Arabidopsis thaliana: one gene and its partner. The protein of the gene in region 1 interacts with the protein of each later gene in a pairwise test. Each region holds a gene or a part of one and is shown on either strand. Other genes may lie near its edges.

Region 1 (6,853 bases):
ATCAAGATAGAATCAAAACCAGATGACAGGTTCGCCGTGAAGCACGCCCCTTGTCATCCATTGCTCAATCATACTAGTGTTATCAGACGATGATATACGGCTCAATCCACGCGTATCATATAGGCAAAATGAAGCGGAACCTCCTCTCGAGATCATATACTCCTGAACAAAGTATGTTCCTCCTTTAGACGGGGTACCAACTGCGATATGAGAGCGCAAAAAACATCAGTAATCTCACCTTTAAAATAGAAACTATAGCAAACACATATATACTTAATTTACATGATTCTTGAGCTCTATCTAGGAGAAACGCGTCGTCTTCGATCACTCTTGTAATCTTATTAACAAGGCTACTCTTCCCAGCCCCTTTCGGACCAACTAGCATGATCGATGTCGTTTTTGGAATATTGTAATCACTCAACTTGACATCAGACCATGATCCAGGAGTATAGCTATGCATATATCAACCATAATAATAGTCAAAAACATAATTGAGTTTGTATGATCACCAAGTAGAACAAACACAACTTTTCCCTAAATGAATTGAATTTAAATATATATAAAAAATACCTCAAAATCTCATTTCTGGCTTGTCTAAGTTTCCGTTTGCTGGTTCTAAGCAAAAGATCATGACTTTGAAGAATCTCTTGGTAAGCTTTTTCTCTCCTTCTCAAATCAGTAACATGATTAGAGAAATTGGTGAAATTCTCTTCAGAAACATCATCCTTAAACCCTAAATCATCACTGCTACACCAAAAAAAAAAAAAAAAAACCACCATCACTTTCTTGATTATGATTATGATCATACTCAACAAAAATTAGTGATAAAGATTAAATAATAATATACCTGAAACAACAAGAACAAGGAGATGATGATGATGATCTTGAAGATTCTTCATCTACAACATCTTAAAAATAATTTATTTTTCGTTAAATCAAACATGCAAACACAGTTCAAAGAAAAAGATCAAAAAATTTACCATCTTTGAAAGTATCACCACCCATGGCTACAAGCTTCTTACTTGTTCTTCGTTTTGAGATTTCTAAGACTTGTTAGAATCTTGTTTTGATAAAAGATCATTTAAAGAATCTTTTTTATATTCTGTTCTATCTCCAAAGTGACTTTTTTTCAATATCTTTGGTTTGTTTGTAGGACTTGTTCGCTTTACTAAATATAGATTAAAATAAGTATCGTAATTAACATAATAAATATAGTCTTAAATTTTCTTGTAGATAAGACAGATTCACAAGTTAAAGACTTTTATATTAAAAGACGACAGAACCAACATTAATGAAACGTAATTCTTTATGGTAATGCCACATCAAGATTTCAATGTCTTTTTTTATCATATATTATACAGAGACAAGAATAAGGAAATTATTTGTTCGATATTGATAGAGCTCAAGCTCTGAGAGGAAAATGCATCAGCCAAACCAAATTTTTACAAATTAAGAACAAATTGGTGACAAAAAAAATGAAAATTCTAACACCTTTCCTCTGTTTTGTTTTGCTATCTTGTTCTTTAAACTCAAATCTTTCTGACAAACCTCTGTGTTATTTACTTTTTTTACTAGGGTATGGGTTTATTAGATCAGAGGTAATGACTTTGTTGAAACGGCGCAGACACGGCCATCCACGGGCGGTCCAACATATTCGGTTGCATTGATGATGTCATTGTGAAGCCACTCGACTGTGGAGGTCCAACTGTGTGTTGCTGCATTGGACTGCTCACAGTAAATGTTTCTCATTAGGCAAATCTGTTTACACATTAATGGATCCATAGAGACAACTTGTAATCTCACCTGAAAGACAAAGATAAAGGAGATGATTCAACTGGCGCGTGGAGGCCGTTTTCATCAGGAGAGAGCAGAGACCAGAAAACTGTAAATGTTCAAAGAGAGATATTCAACAACCTTTCACAGAGAAATATAACAGAAATCTGCAGTTTTATCAACATATGCTCAAGTTTTCATCACCTGATGGTTCTCGATCATTGTTGACCCCGGGGCAAAAGAGAAAATTCTGCTTTTGTAAACAACAGATTTATTACAACTCATGAAAAGTTTAACAATGCTATATAAGTGACGTTCATTGCGTATGAGCTTACCTCGCTCATGTCCTGAGATACATTGCGGAGCATTTCTGCAAACAATATTTGAAACCATGCTCAATGTCAATGTCAATTTGTGTCAGATCTAGTGACCAACTCTACACGAGGGAATGATACTTACCTAGTTTGGGAGCACTTGGTTTCACAGCTAGTGTCAAGCCAAGAAAACATTCTTCAGGTTCTCTGTTAAAGTCCCAGAGATTTAGCTCAAGATTAGGCAACGCCGCTGCAGAATACCACAAATATAATTGAACTTAATCTTATGGTCATGAAAGCATACTATACGAAGCAGATTAACAAAGAAAAATAAAGCCTCACCCATATTATCAAGCCTCAGCTCAAGGTCATGGATAGGATATGAAGCCTGCGTAGCCATCTGTTCCGAATATATCATTACATTTTCGATTATTACAAAGAGAGGAGTGTGTGATAAAATCAAAAGAAGCAAGGGAATATTCAAATTACACTGAAAAATGGATGATTTAGTGCCTCATCAGCAGTTGGTCGTTTCAATGGATCCCATGAGCAAAGTCGCTGTTGATTCAAAAAAAGAAACAGATGATATACGAAATAAAGATATTGAAAGATCACAACATTCTTAAGAATGGTAAGAAATATCCGCAAAAAGAGTGAACACAAGAACTCACATTGATCAAATCAATAGCTTCAGGAGCAGCATTGGGAAGTAAATCAGCAATTCGTGTCTGCGGAAACTGTCACAAGATATTCAAAGAACAAAGTCAATATTGAAGTGCAGTTAATATAATAAGCCTCTTATCTTTTCATTAAGAACTCTTACCTCTGTGTGACTAATACTCATAATTCGAGATATGCTTTTCGCTTCAGGGAACGTGGTCCAGTCCGGCTTGCCAAGAACACAGCAGATTTTGTATAATTGATCTATCTCACTACTCATAAAGAAATCATTATATCAGTTTTCACTAAATGGTCTATCTTAAGTGTGCACACAGATTAAGCTCAGCTAGTATCGTTTGAAAGGGAAATGAATTCACCTTTCACCAGGAAATAACGGAGTTAAAGCGTAAAGCTCAGCTAGTATCGCTCCAACTGCCCACATGTCTGCAGTTCTTTTAAATGTTAGTCTATAAAGATTTGCAAAGCGATCCAATAGATGACAAAACAGAAAGAAAAAATGTCTTAAACTATTCAAAGCCACGAAGTATTAGCCATGGTTTAGCTAGACTTTTGACATGATCACATGATACTAATGAAATGTGATGAGGCACAAAAGGATTTCGCAAACATACCAACTGCAGGAGTGTATAATGAAGACTGTAGCAAAACTTCTGGAGCTCGATACCTGTTGCAGTCAGAGCCAATAATAAGGTATACGTCGATATCACCTTATACCACATACTTTCATGCATGAATGCGAAGGCAATATCAAAGAGAAATCACTTACCAACGTGTGGACACATATTCAGTGTAAGGAGGCATAGATGCAACTTCTCTAGCCAACCCAAAGTCAGCAATTTTCAGGATATTGTTGGTCACCAGCAAATTCTCTTCAGAAACAGAACAAAACTTGTTTATAAGACATTCAAAGAGCGAAAACCATTTCAATTAATACAATACAAAGTACCAAAACATACCAGGTTTCAGGTCTCGATGGAAATAACCGTTTTTATGCATGTGTGCGAGCCCTTGCAGCATCTGAGACATAAAACTTCTTATTTCTCCTTCAGAAAAAGGTCGTTCCCTTTCTTTCATTATATGGTACAGATTGTGATCCTAGTCAAATCATTATCCAAGAACAATGAGAATATATTCTCTAACATCAGACTAAAAAATCCTACAGAAGATAAAAAAGCGGAGATCGCCTTTACCATGCACTCAAAGATGAAAAAAAGCTCATTATGTTCTCTCACAATCTCCTTCAACTTTATGATATGAGGATGATTTAGCTTACGAAGAGCCTGCAAACGTAAAACTACATCACCATCCTTGAACACAAACATAGACATAACAGAAAGTAAACAACAGACACAGAGTCGCCGCACCTTAACTTCTCGCAGATTCACACACTCTTCCCAATAATAAAACTTTCTCTTCATCTTCTTAACAGCAACCTGAGGAAAACACAAGGTGAGATAGAATCAGCTACACACTAGAAGATAAGCGAAAGAGAGAAACTTTCAACAACTTACAACTTCATATGTTTCCAAATTTACTGCTTTATATACACTACCACAAGTACCATCACCAAGCTCTTCCAAAATCTTATACCTACACATAACAAAAACCACAAACACCATCATCACTTTCTCACCATGTCCAATATATATACAAACAACAACAAGAACAGAACAAGAACAAACCTTTCCATGATTCCGTTTATTCGAGCAATACAACAACGATTAAAAACCCCGTCAATTGTCCTCTGTTAACCTCCACCTTGAAGAACAAGTATCTACTCTTTGAACACAAGAACCGTCACAAGATTGCATAAACTGTTTACTTCTTGATTGTAGTATGTAATCAAGAACCAACTTCTCATCATAAGACTGATTAATTATAAGAATCTGAAAAGTTAGCAACATTGTTCAAAACAAAAAGAGCAGCTTCCTATAAGCTGCAATCAATAATCTTCATCCACAACAAATCTCCAACTACAAAGTTTATCTGCAAAAAAAAAAAAAAAAAAAAAGGATTTAATCAAAATAAAAACAAAATCTTTTGTTTTCAATAATGATGATTTAATCTATTTAGATCGGTTTAGAAAAGAAAAAAAAATCTTCAATTGCTACATATGAAGATTCTGCTATAAAGTCTCAAACTTTATTTATTTGTAGAGTAAAAAAAGATCAATTTGTCCAAGAAATTGAGATAAAATTGAGAAAAATAAACAAAAAACAAATCCAATCGGAATTAAGAAAACAATAAAACACAAAAAAAAAAAAAAAAAAAAATCTTACATGAACACAAGAATTAAAAACATAATCTATAAAAAAAAATTCTCACCATTGATGTAAGGAGAATGAGAATTGGAGAAGAATTAAAGGATCTGATGAAGAAACATCAATGTCGTTTATGTTTTAGAGAAAGTGAATTTAAGAGAAGCCAAAACAAAAAAAAAGAGATAAACTATAGGTGAAGAAGAGAGAGAGGAATAGCAGATTGTTTAGGAAGCCATGGGAGAAGAAAGAAGAAATTGAAGAAGAAGAAGAAGAACGAAATACATAATTAATTAATTAAATTAAATATTTAAGAAGATAATTATTGATTTTTGTATTATTATTAAAATATTAATAAGGAAAAAGAAAAAAATGGAGGAAAATGGTTGGTTGTGGTGGGGAAGGCAACGGTGGTCCCTTAAGAGAGTGATATTAAATAATTCTGGTTTTCTTACCATTTGAAATGACGGAAATCTCCTTCGACTATTGTTTTATTTACCGGAAGATTCTACTGGAGAAAGTCTTTTTAAGATAGGGGAATTGACGAAGTCGTTAATGGGCTATTGGGCTTTATGATGTTGTTGGGTCTGTTTTATTCGATTCCATGCTCAGTTTCGGTTCAACTTCAGCGGTATGGTAAAACTAAAATACCTAACAAGTATTATTTATTTCATCCAAATTTTCTTTTCATGTAACTTTCGACATACTCGGGTATATTAAACAAAACAACATAAAACATTCTGTAAACGGTACGCAAACTTTTAACATCTATTATCACATTCACAGACAGTCAAAGATGGCTACAACGCTCTTATGGCTCGACAATGATCTTCCCAGTAGCATGACCATCGATACTTTTGGCCCAAGCATCCTCCGCTTTGCTCAAAGGATGCTTTGAGTCAATCACTGTCTTCACTTTCCCTTCTTTCACTAGATTCACCATAAACTCCAAATTCTCAGCTTTTGGGATCAACAAGAGTGGCACTAACTGCTTCTTTGACATGGTTATTTTCTTAACCGCATAAGTCCACATTGCATTAGGCCCCGGTGTGATGTCTATCACCTTCCCGTTTTCCGACAAATTTGGTTCGAATACCGAAAATGGAATCCCGTTTGCACAATGGACCACAGCGTCATATTTTTTACCCGACGGACTCTTGAGGGCGGCTCCCTCGGGAGTCTTGTAGTCGAGAACCTCATCCGCTCCCAACGATTTGACAAACTCTATGTTCCGGGCACCACATGTAGCGGTTACGTGAGCATTTGCAAGTTTTGCCAGCTGGACTGCATAGTGACCAACCCCACCAGATGCTGCTGTGACCAGGATGTTCGCCTTCTTGCCTGTACCATCCAGCTTCAACCCCGCAGGATTAGTAAGAGCTTGGAGAGCGGTTAGACCCGCCACAGGTAAAGCTGCTGCTTCAGCTGCTCCCACTTCTTGAGGTCTTTTGACAGTCAGCTTCTCGGTTGCAACAGCGAACTCAGCAAGTCCACCTCCACCCTGAAAGAACAAAATCAGTTTCCCTTAACATGTTTCAAGGTAATTAAAGTTTCTACTTGTCTGTCTGAAAAAACTTACTAGATGGCTAAGAACCGCTACAACTTTGTCACCAGCCTTAAAATTTTTTACTCCTGATCCAACCTCAACGACCTCTCCAGCAACATCAGTAGCTGTTCAAAACAAATATCAAAGGTTCCAAACTCAACGACCTCTAAGCAAAGTAACCTCTTTCTTCTATACAGAAACTAAAATCTTCAAAGCTATTAGAATACCTGGAATGCAGGGGAACTTGCGGGGCAGAAATGGGCGGATCATTCCTTTCTGAA
Region 2 (5,848 bases), on another chromosome or scaffold:
GGCAGACAATTAACTGACCTCTTCAAACTGAAGGTAGATGTTTCGACTAGAGACCTTATCAAATTTCGCGGTAACAACAAGTGTTGCACCTTCTTGCTCCTGCCAAGGATTCATTTACAGTAACTGTCTGGACATATATGAAATTGAAAGGGTGGTTACAAGTAGAGAAGCAAAAACCTCCAACAAGCTTGGAAGACTCCACTGAACAACATTCCGAATGATCCCACCGTCGGATCTATCTCTGCACTCAAACTTCTGAAAGACCTGCCCTACCTGATCAAAATCCACACAGGATTAAAACCGAAGCCCAAAACTAAAGTCTCTCTCTGCTTTGTTCATTATCATTAGTAGTATATACCTGAAAGAAGGGAAGTCTTGAAGCAGCTTCAAACAGAACAACAACATCAGGTGCAGATGTATATTGTAGCCTCCATGTTCCATCTAACTTCACTGGATCAATTTCTTCACCGCCATTAAACCCTTCCACAGTCACCTGAAAAGTTTCTACCAAATCCAGACTCATTGAAGAATATAACATCGTCACTCAATATCATACATCAACAGTATCCAATGCAATGGCTGTACCAGAGCCTCCTCAATGATAGATCGTTGATCAGAAGTGGCAGTGAGTCCTCGTTGAGTGTCTTGAACAGCTCTCAGTAGATCGTGTTTCTTGTGTTCTAAGTCAAGTTCATTGTCGACGACGACCTGAGTTATCACCGAAACATACTCAAATCATTTGTTTCAGACGAGCCAAAAACAAAAATGTGCAGAGAACAAACCCTGGCCGAAGTCTCTCCAGAAGCTACAGCTACTCGACACGAGAATCTCTTTCTATGGTTGGTTTTAATGTTTAAGCCAAAAGGGCTGATTCTACAGACGCGGGACAATGAAATCGCAGGGCAAGAGAAAGTCGCAGACGCAATTCGATCCATTTTCGAACCTGATGGATAAGCTTATACAAGATAAAAAATTTATCCCCAAAGAGTAACAATGTCTAGGAGAAAAAAATAATAATAATAATTTAGTCGATACCTTCAAAGCTCAAAAGCTGCTCGAGGATGGTGACAAACTGAGAACTGAGGAAGATGAGACAGCTTTATTTTCTATAATTACTCTTCATTTTTTTATTTTAATACGTGGCAGTATTTTGACCTGACATCGTGAACCGGCTCAAACCTTAACCGAGCCTTTGAGCAATGAAAGCTGTCAATTATTCCACCAGAACATGAATCGAAAATGACCAAGTCCGATTTACCCAAGTAACAAATGATCCATAGACTAAACCATCAAAATGGCACTGTACAACAAAAGGAAGGCCACATTTTGTAAACTTTAAAGCAGTTTTCTTCTTTCTTCAGTTAGAGCCATTGATTAGCCATTGTTGTCTGGTTGGTGGTGAGCATCATGTGCAATCTCATCCTCTCCATCTCCAAAATTAGCCCATGGAAGTATTGACTCAATCAACACAGCTAATGGACTCCGATTTGCCAAATCACGTGGACGTGGTGGTGGTGCTTGGTGTTGACCTCTCCCGCCACCTTCAGCCATTTGCTCTCCTCCCACCATTCTTGGATCAGCCACAAAGTTCTGCAAATTGTCTGGTGGGAGAGTTGGCATCGAATCAGAGAAATCATGGGTTGATAAATGAGAGTACCTGCAATGGGTTAGAACCATACGTGATCAGCTCTAGCCAAAAAAAAAGAAATTGACAAGTGAGTGAGAGTTCAAAACGCTTACTGGTTATTCTCAGAAGAGAAAGCTTCTAATCTTACACAAAGCCAGCTCTCAGCTTCGGTTCCATCTTGTTCCAGAGATTCAATGACTAAATCAGCAGCGCTCCGAAGCAATTTCTGTACATCTGGAAGCCTCCATATAAGATAATTCCTCTCAACATATATTTTGATGAGGTGATCTAAAGACGGGATCTTTGATTCATCTGATCGGAAGTAAGAATGCTTGAGTATCTTTGTCCATGCCTGATCTTTTAAAGGTACTTTTTCCACTAGTTTGTTGAGTACTGTTGGATGAAGCTTCAAAGCTTGCGTCATGAGATCCAAAGAGCTTTGCTTCGAAGTATCTCTGGGAGTGGCTTCTGAGGAAGAGGTAGGCTCCATCTTTTCAAGATAAACTCGTGCTATTGCAAGCGAATAAGAGAAATTCGGAAAGAGCCATAATGAGTTATCATTTCGGTACTCCTCCGAGAATTGCTCCAGCCACGCATACTCCTCTGCTCTCAAAGCAAAGTAGTCCACACAAAACAAAGCGCCCACAGGATTACTCGTGTCCAAGGAAAGCAAGAGTTTGCAGACCTCCAACGCTGACCTATGACAGCCACGCCTGTCCATGTTTCTCATGTGAGTGAAAAGCGTCTTGAAGAACAGCTTGTTTTCATCGTGGTTAAACTCCAACCGGCAGTTACCCTGGAACGGAGTGAACATAGGATGCCACGCACGCTCCAAACCGTACAAGCATTTTCCAATGGAATCTGCAGCCATATCATTCTCACCTACAAACTTAAAGTAATCCGCCATAGTTATGAGCGACTCAATATGGTAAGGATTGTGTATAAGGACACTTGCTACACCATTCAAATCATGGATAGCTTGTGCAGCCTGAAATGCTCTCTGAGCCTGCTCATATGAGGATGAATGGGTATATCTACACATCAAAAGAAAAGTATTTCATCAGATGTACAAATTTACAATGTCTGTATTTTCTATACACACACCCAACGAAAAAACAAAAAGCTGTAAAAATTGTTACCTGAAGTAGTTGTTACCATCTTTAGTCTCTAGAAACTCCATTGAGAAAGATCTATCCCATCGAGACCAATTCTCTTTTGGAGATACCAGAACCGTCTTTGTGATATGATGGACTCCACGCCTTCCCCCTCGTCTAGAGCTACTACCACCTTGAGAGCCACTCTCACTCTCAAATGATCGCATAGCCTTTGAACCATACGTTCTCCTCAACTCGTTCTCAAGATTCAGATACTTGGAATCTATTTCCAACACAAATCGTGAAGAAGCCTTTTTGGAAGAATCAGCATTTGGTTTTGTCTCCTGAACCTTATCTTGCTTAGAGTTAGCATTGAGACCAAGTGCTTCCAAAGTTTCATCCAAAGTCATTTCAGCTTTAGGCACATTAGAGCCACTCTCTTTGTTCTTCTTCTTTTTCTTTTTCTTCGACTTATTCTTTGACACCGGCTGCACATGATCAGCGACACTTGACTGATGATCCGCATCTTCGTTCTTCTTCTCAGCTATAGTCTCATCATCAATCTCCTGCAATCAAACCCAATTGTTACAGAAACACTTTGTAATCATTACTCCTACGACCAACAAAATATGAATCAGCTCTAGACATCAGAATAAAAAACCATAAGAATCTGAAGATCAAACCATTGAAACTATCTACATTCAAACTTATCAACACATTAGCTATTTTAGAACACGGAGGAGGATAAAATTCTAGATACTAAATCTACCGAACAATCTAATCGTCAAAATCTGAGAGACTGACCTCAGGATCTTCATCACCATCGTTCAAGAGATCGAATGGATTAATCGAAGAACGGGCTCCTGATTCTTCTTCGTCCTCTTCTTCTTCTTCTTCGTGATGTTTCTGAAGTTTCGAATCTTCATGTTCCTGGAGAACCTTCTTCAGCAACCTCCCAGACATATCTTCTCCTGCTTCGTCTTCGGAAAATCGAACAAGGACGATTTCAGACGGCGGAGAAAGGCGGCGACACCGACGACTAGATGATTATCTCGTCGATACACGCTAATCCCTCGCTTCTCTCAACCTTTTTAGGAGAACAAGGTATCTTTCCGGTTTTTACTTAACCGGTACATTTAAACCGGTAGAACTGTAGATTGTTATTCCGGGAGAGAGAGAAAACAACCGAGATGCGGGAGAAAGAACGACGGCGTTTTACAATCCCTTTTTTACCTCAACGACGTCGTTTTACTTGACACAATTGGCGCATAAATTTATATTAAAGTTCGAATTTGGACCGCATATAAAGTTGGTTAATTTATAGAATCCAATGCTTTCGGCTAAGCTAATAATTAGAGTCACCACGAGCACAGCTAAATTGTATCTCTTTAGTGATATCTTCACTTTTACTTCAAAAAGTATTGTAATAACGAATTCACTATCCCCTTATTATTAAAAGGGGAAGTACAAAGTAAAATTTTGTCTAATTTGGCCTCAATTTTGATTTCAATTTTGGATTTTGTTATTTGCTATTCAAAATCATTAAAGATAATTTGGTCTTAATAATCTTCTAAACTTTATATGATCTGATTGAATCTAAACCGTTCAATAAAATTAATTCCCTTCAATCTAAACCGTTCAACAAAAATAAGTGAAATAATTTTATTTTTTTATCTTCACTTTAAAGACATATAATTATAAATAACATAATTCATATGGTCTTTATTTTGCCAAAAAAGTGTATAACCTGTCAAATAGTTAAAAAAAACACTTATAATCATAAAAAATATTATACCAATTTTGTGAATCTTACATTTTTGTAAATATTTTACTTTCACTAAAATTACATACACATTTTTAAACACATTTTAACACATTTATCTTATCACTAAATAACAACAAAAAAAAATCCCAATTATTATTTAATTATGTTTGATTAAAAAATTTATATTTATAAATTTAAAATATCAAATTTATTCAAATATTTAGTATAAAAACCAAATAAACCGATTGTCCGCGGTTTACCGCGGATTAAATCCTAGTTATTATTATTGCGATTCCCTTTCCCCATGCTCTGAAATTTGTTAATCATTTGTCCCTATTTCTGCTTAACCACTTACATTTCATAATTTTTGAGTTTATATTGTTTAATGTATATATTTTACACTATTACTTTCATTACTTAATAGTCAGAAATCTCATACCATAATCATTACGATACAAAATCATAGTCCAATTATTTTCTTCATTACTGACTTTTTCGGCTCTTTTACAAAAAGCTAATATCTTTATCTACAGTTGATCATATTTTAATTTTCACCAAAAGTATAATTAAACAGAAGACTCTAATCATATCAGTGATCAAAGTGGGCCAACATGGGCCCATACACGCCACAAAGAACCCAACCCAAAAGTCCAAAGATATTCTTTAAGCTCAGTTTATAAATTGCATTCTCTTTCTCCTTCCTACAGGCCAACCCAACATCAACGACTTATTCGAGAGAAAATGAATCGGAATCTTAGAAACGCCATTGTCGCATTTCTTGCTCCACTTCCTTCTATCGTATTCTACCTCACCTTTCTCAGTAATTACTCTTCATCTTCCGATTCAGAGCTCTCTTCTATTCAATCATGGTGTTTGAATCATCCTCTTCTATTAGCAAACCTTCTCTTCTTCTTAAACGTCAATGTGCTCTTCTGGGTCATCGGTTTACTCCAATCTAGCCACTGGGTACGCATCCATAGTCTCCAAATCTGTTACCCATTTGTTAAAATTCGCAATTTTTTAGTTTTTGAAAAAATTCGTTAATTTTGCAGATGATCGATGTGTATTGGACAGTGATACCTGTAATGCTGGTTCATTACTTCGCTTCGCATCCATTGTCACAGTACAATAAGCTGAGATCCATGATTGTCATAACTCTGACATGGATTTGGAGCATTAGGTTGACTCATAACTACTTCCGGCGGGAAAATTGGGAATGGGGAGCTAGAGAAGACTGGAGGTTCAACGACTTACGGAAACAGTACGGGAAACACTGGTGGTGGCTCTCCTTCTTCTCTGTCTACGTTTCTCAGCAGGTACATGACCACCAACTGTTCGATGAATTGCCTCAAAGAGCTCGTT

What was found.
Region 2: the proteins of MHK (region 1) and AT2G46900 interact in a two-hybrid assay, tested with the Arabidopsis thaliana proteins (one large-scale study listed by BioGRID).

The regions. Positions count from the first base shown.
Region 1 is NC_003075.7:7,601,552-7,608,404, reverse strand, and holds MHK (Protein kinase superfamily protein), read right to left. Parts: upstream 5,305-6,853; 5' UTR 5,094-5,304; intron 4,755-5,093; 5' UTR 4,459-4,754; coding exon 4,451-4,458; exon of another isoform or gene 4,391-4,450; coding exon of another isoform or gene 4,359-4,390; coding exon 4,280-4,358; intron 4,202-4,279; coding exon 4,133-4,201; intron 4,076-4,132; coding exon 3,959-4,075; intron 3,864-3,958; coding exon 3,725-3,863; intron 3,638-3,724; coding exon 3,535-3,637; intron 3,433-3,534; coding exon 3,380-3,432; intron 3,192-3,379; coding exon 3,125-3,191; intron 3,020-3,124; coding exon 2,911-3,019; intron 2,825-2,910; coding exon 2,759-2,824; intron 2,646-2,758; coding exon 2,577-2,645; intron 2,488-2,576; coding exon 2,430-2,487; intron 2,338-2,429; coding exon 2,233-2,337; intron 2,144-2,232; coding exon 2,109-2,143; intron 2,024-2,108; coding exon 1,978-2,023; coding exon of another isoform or gene 1,952-1,977; exon of another isoform or gene 1,883-1,951; coding exon 1,804-1,882; coding exon of another isoform or gene 1,800-1,803; exon of another isoform or gene 1,729-1,799; coding exon of another isoform or gene 1,726-1,728; and 3 more. Other genes in the region: AT4G13030 (P-loop containing nucleoside triphosphate hydrolases superfamily protein), read right to left, coding at 20-200, 283-452, 571-747, 848-908, 981-1,005; AT4G13010 (Oxidoreductase, zinc-binding dehydrogenase family protein), read right to left, coding at 5,838-6,527, 6,606-6,697, 6,800-6,853.
Region 2 is NC_003071.7:19,267,514-19,273,361, reverse strand, and holds AT2G46900 (transcription factor-like protein), read right to left. Parts: upstream 3,805-5,848; 5' UTR 3,685-3,804; coding exon 3,526-3,684; intron 3,288-3,525; coding exon 2,767-3,287; intron 2,662-2,766; coding exon 1,741-2,661; intron 1,658-1,740; coding exon 1,375-1,657; 3' UTR 1,099-1,374; downstream 1-1,098. Other genes in the region: AT2G46910 (Plastid-lipid associated protein PAP / fibrillin family protein), read right to left, coding at 19-99, 178-273, 359-493, 586-708, 783-935; AT2G46890 (3-oxo-5-alpha-steroid 4-dehydrogenase (DUF1295)), read left to right, coding at 5,228-5,452, 5,539-5,802.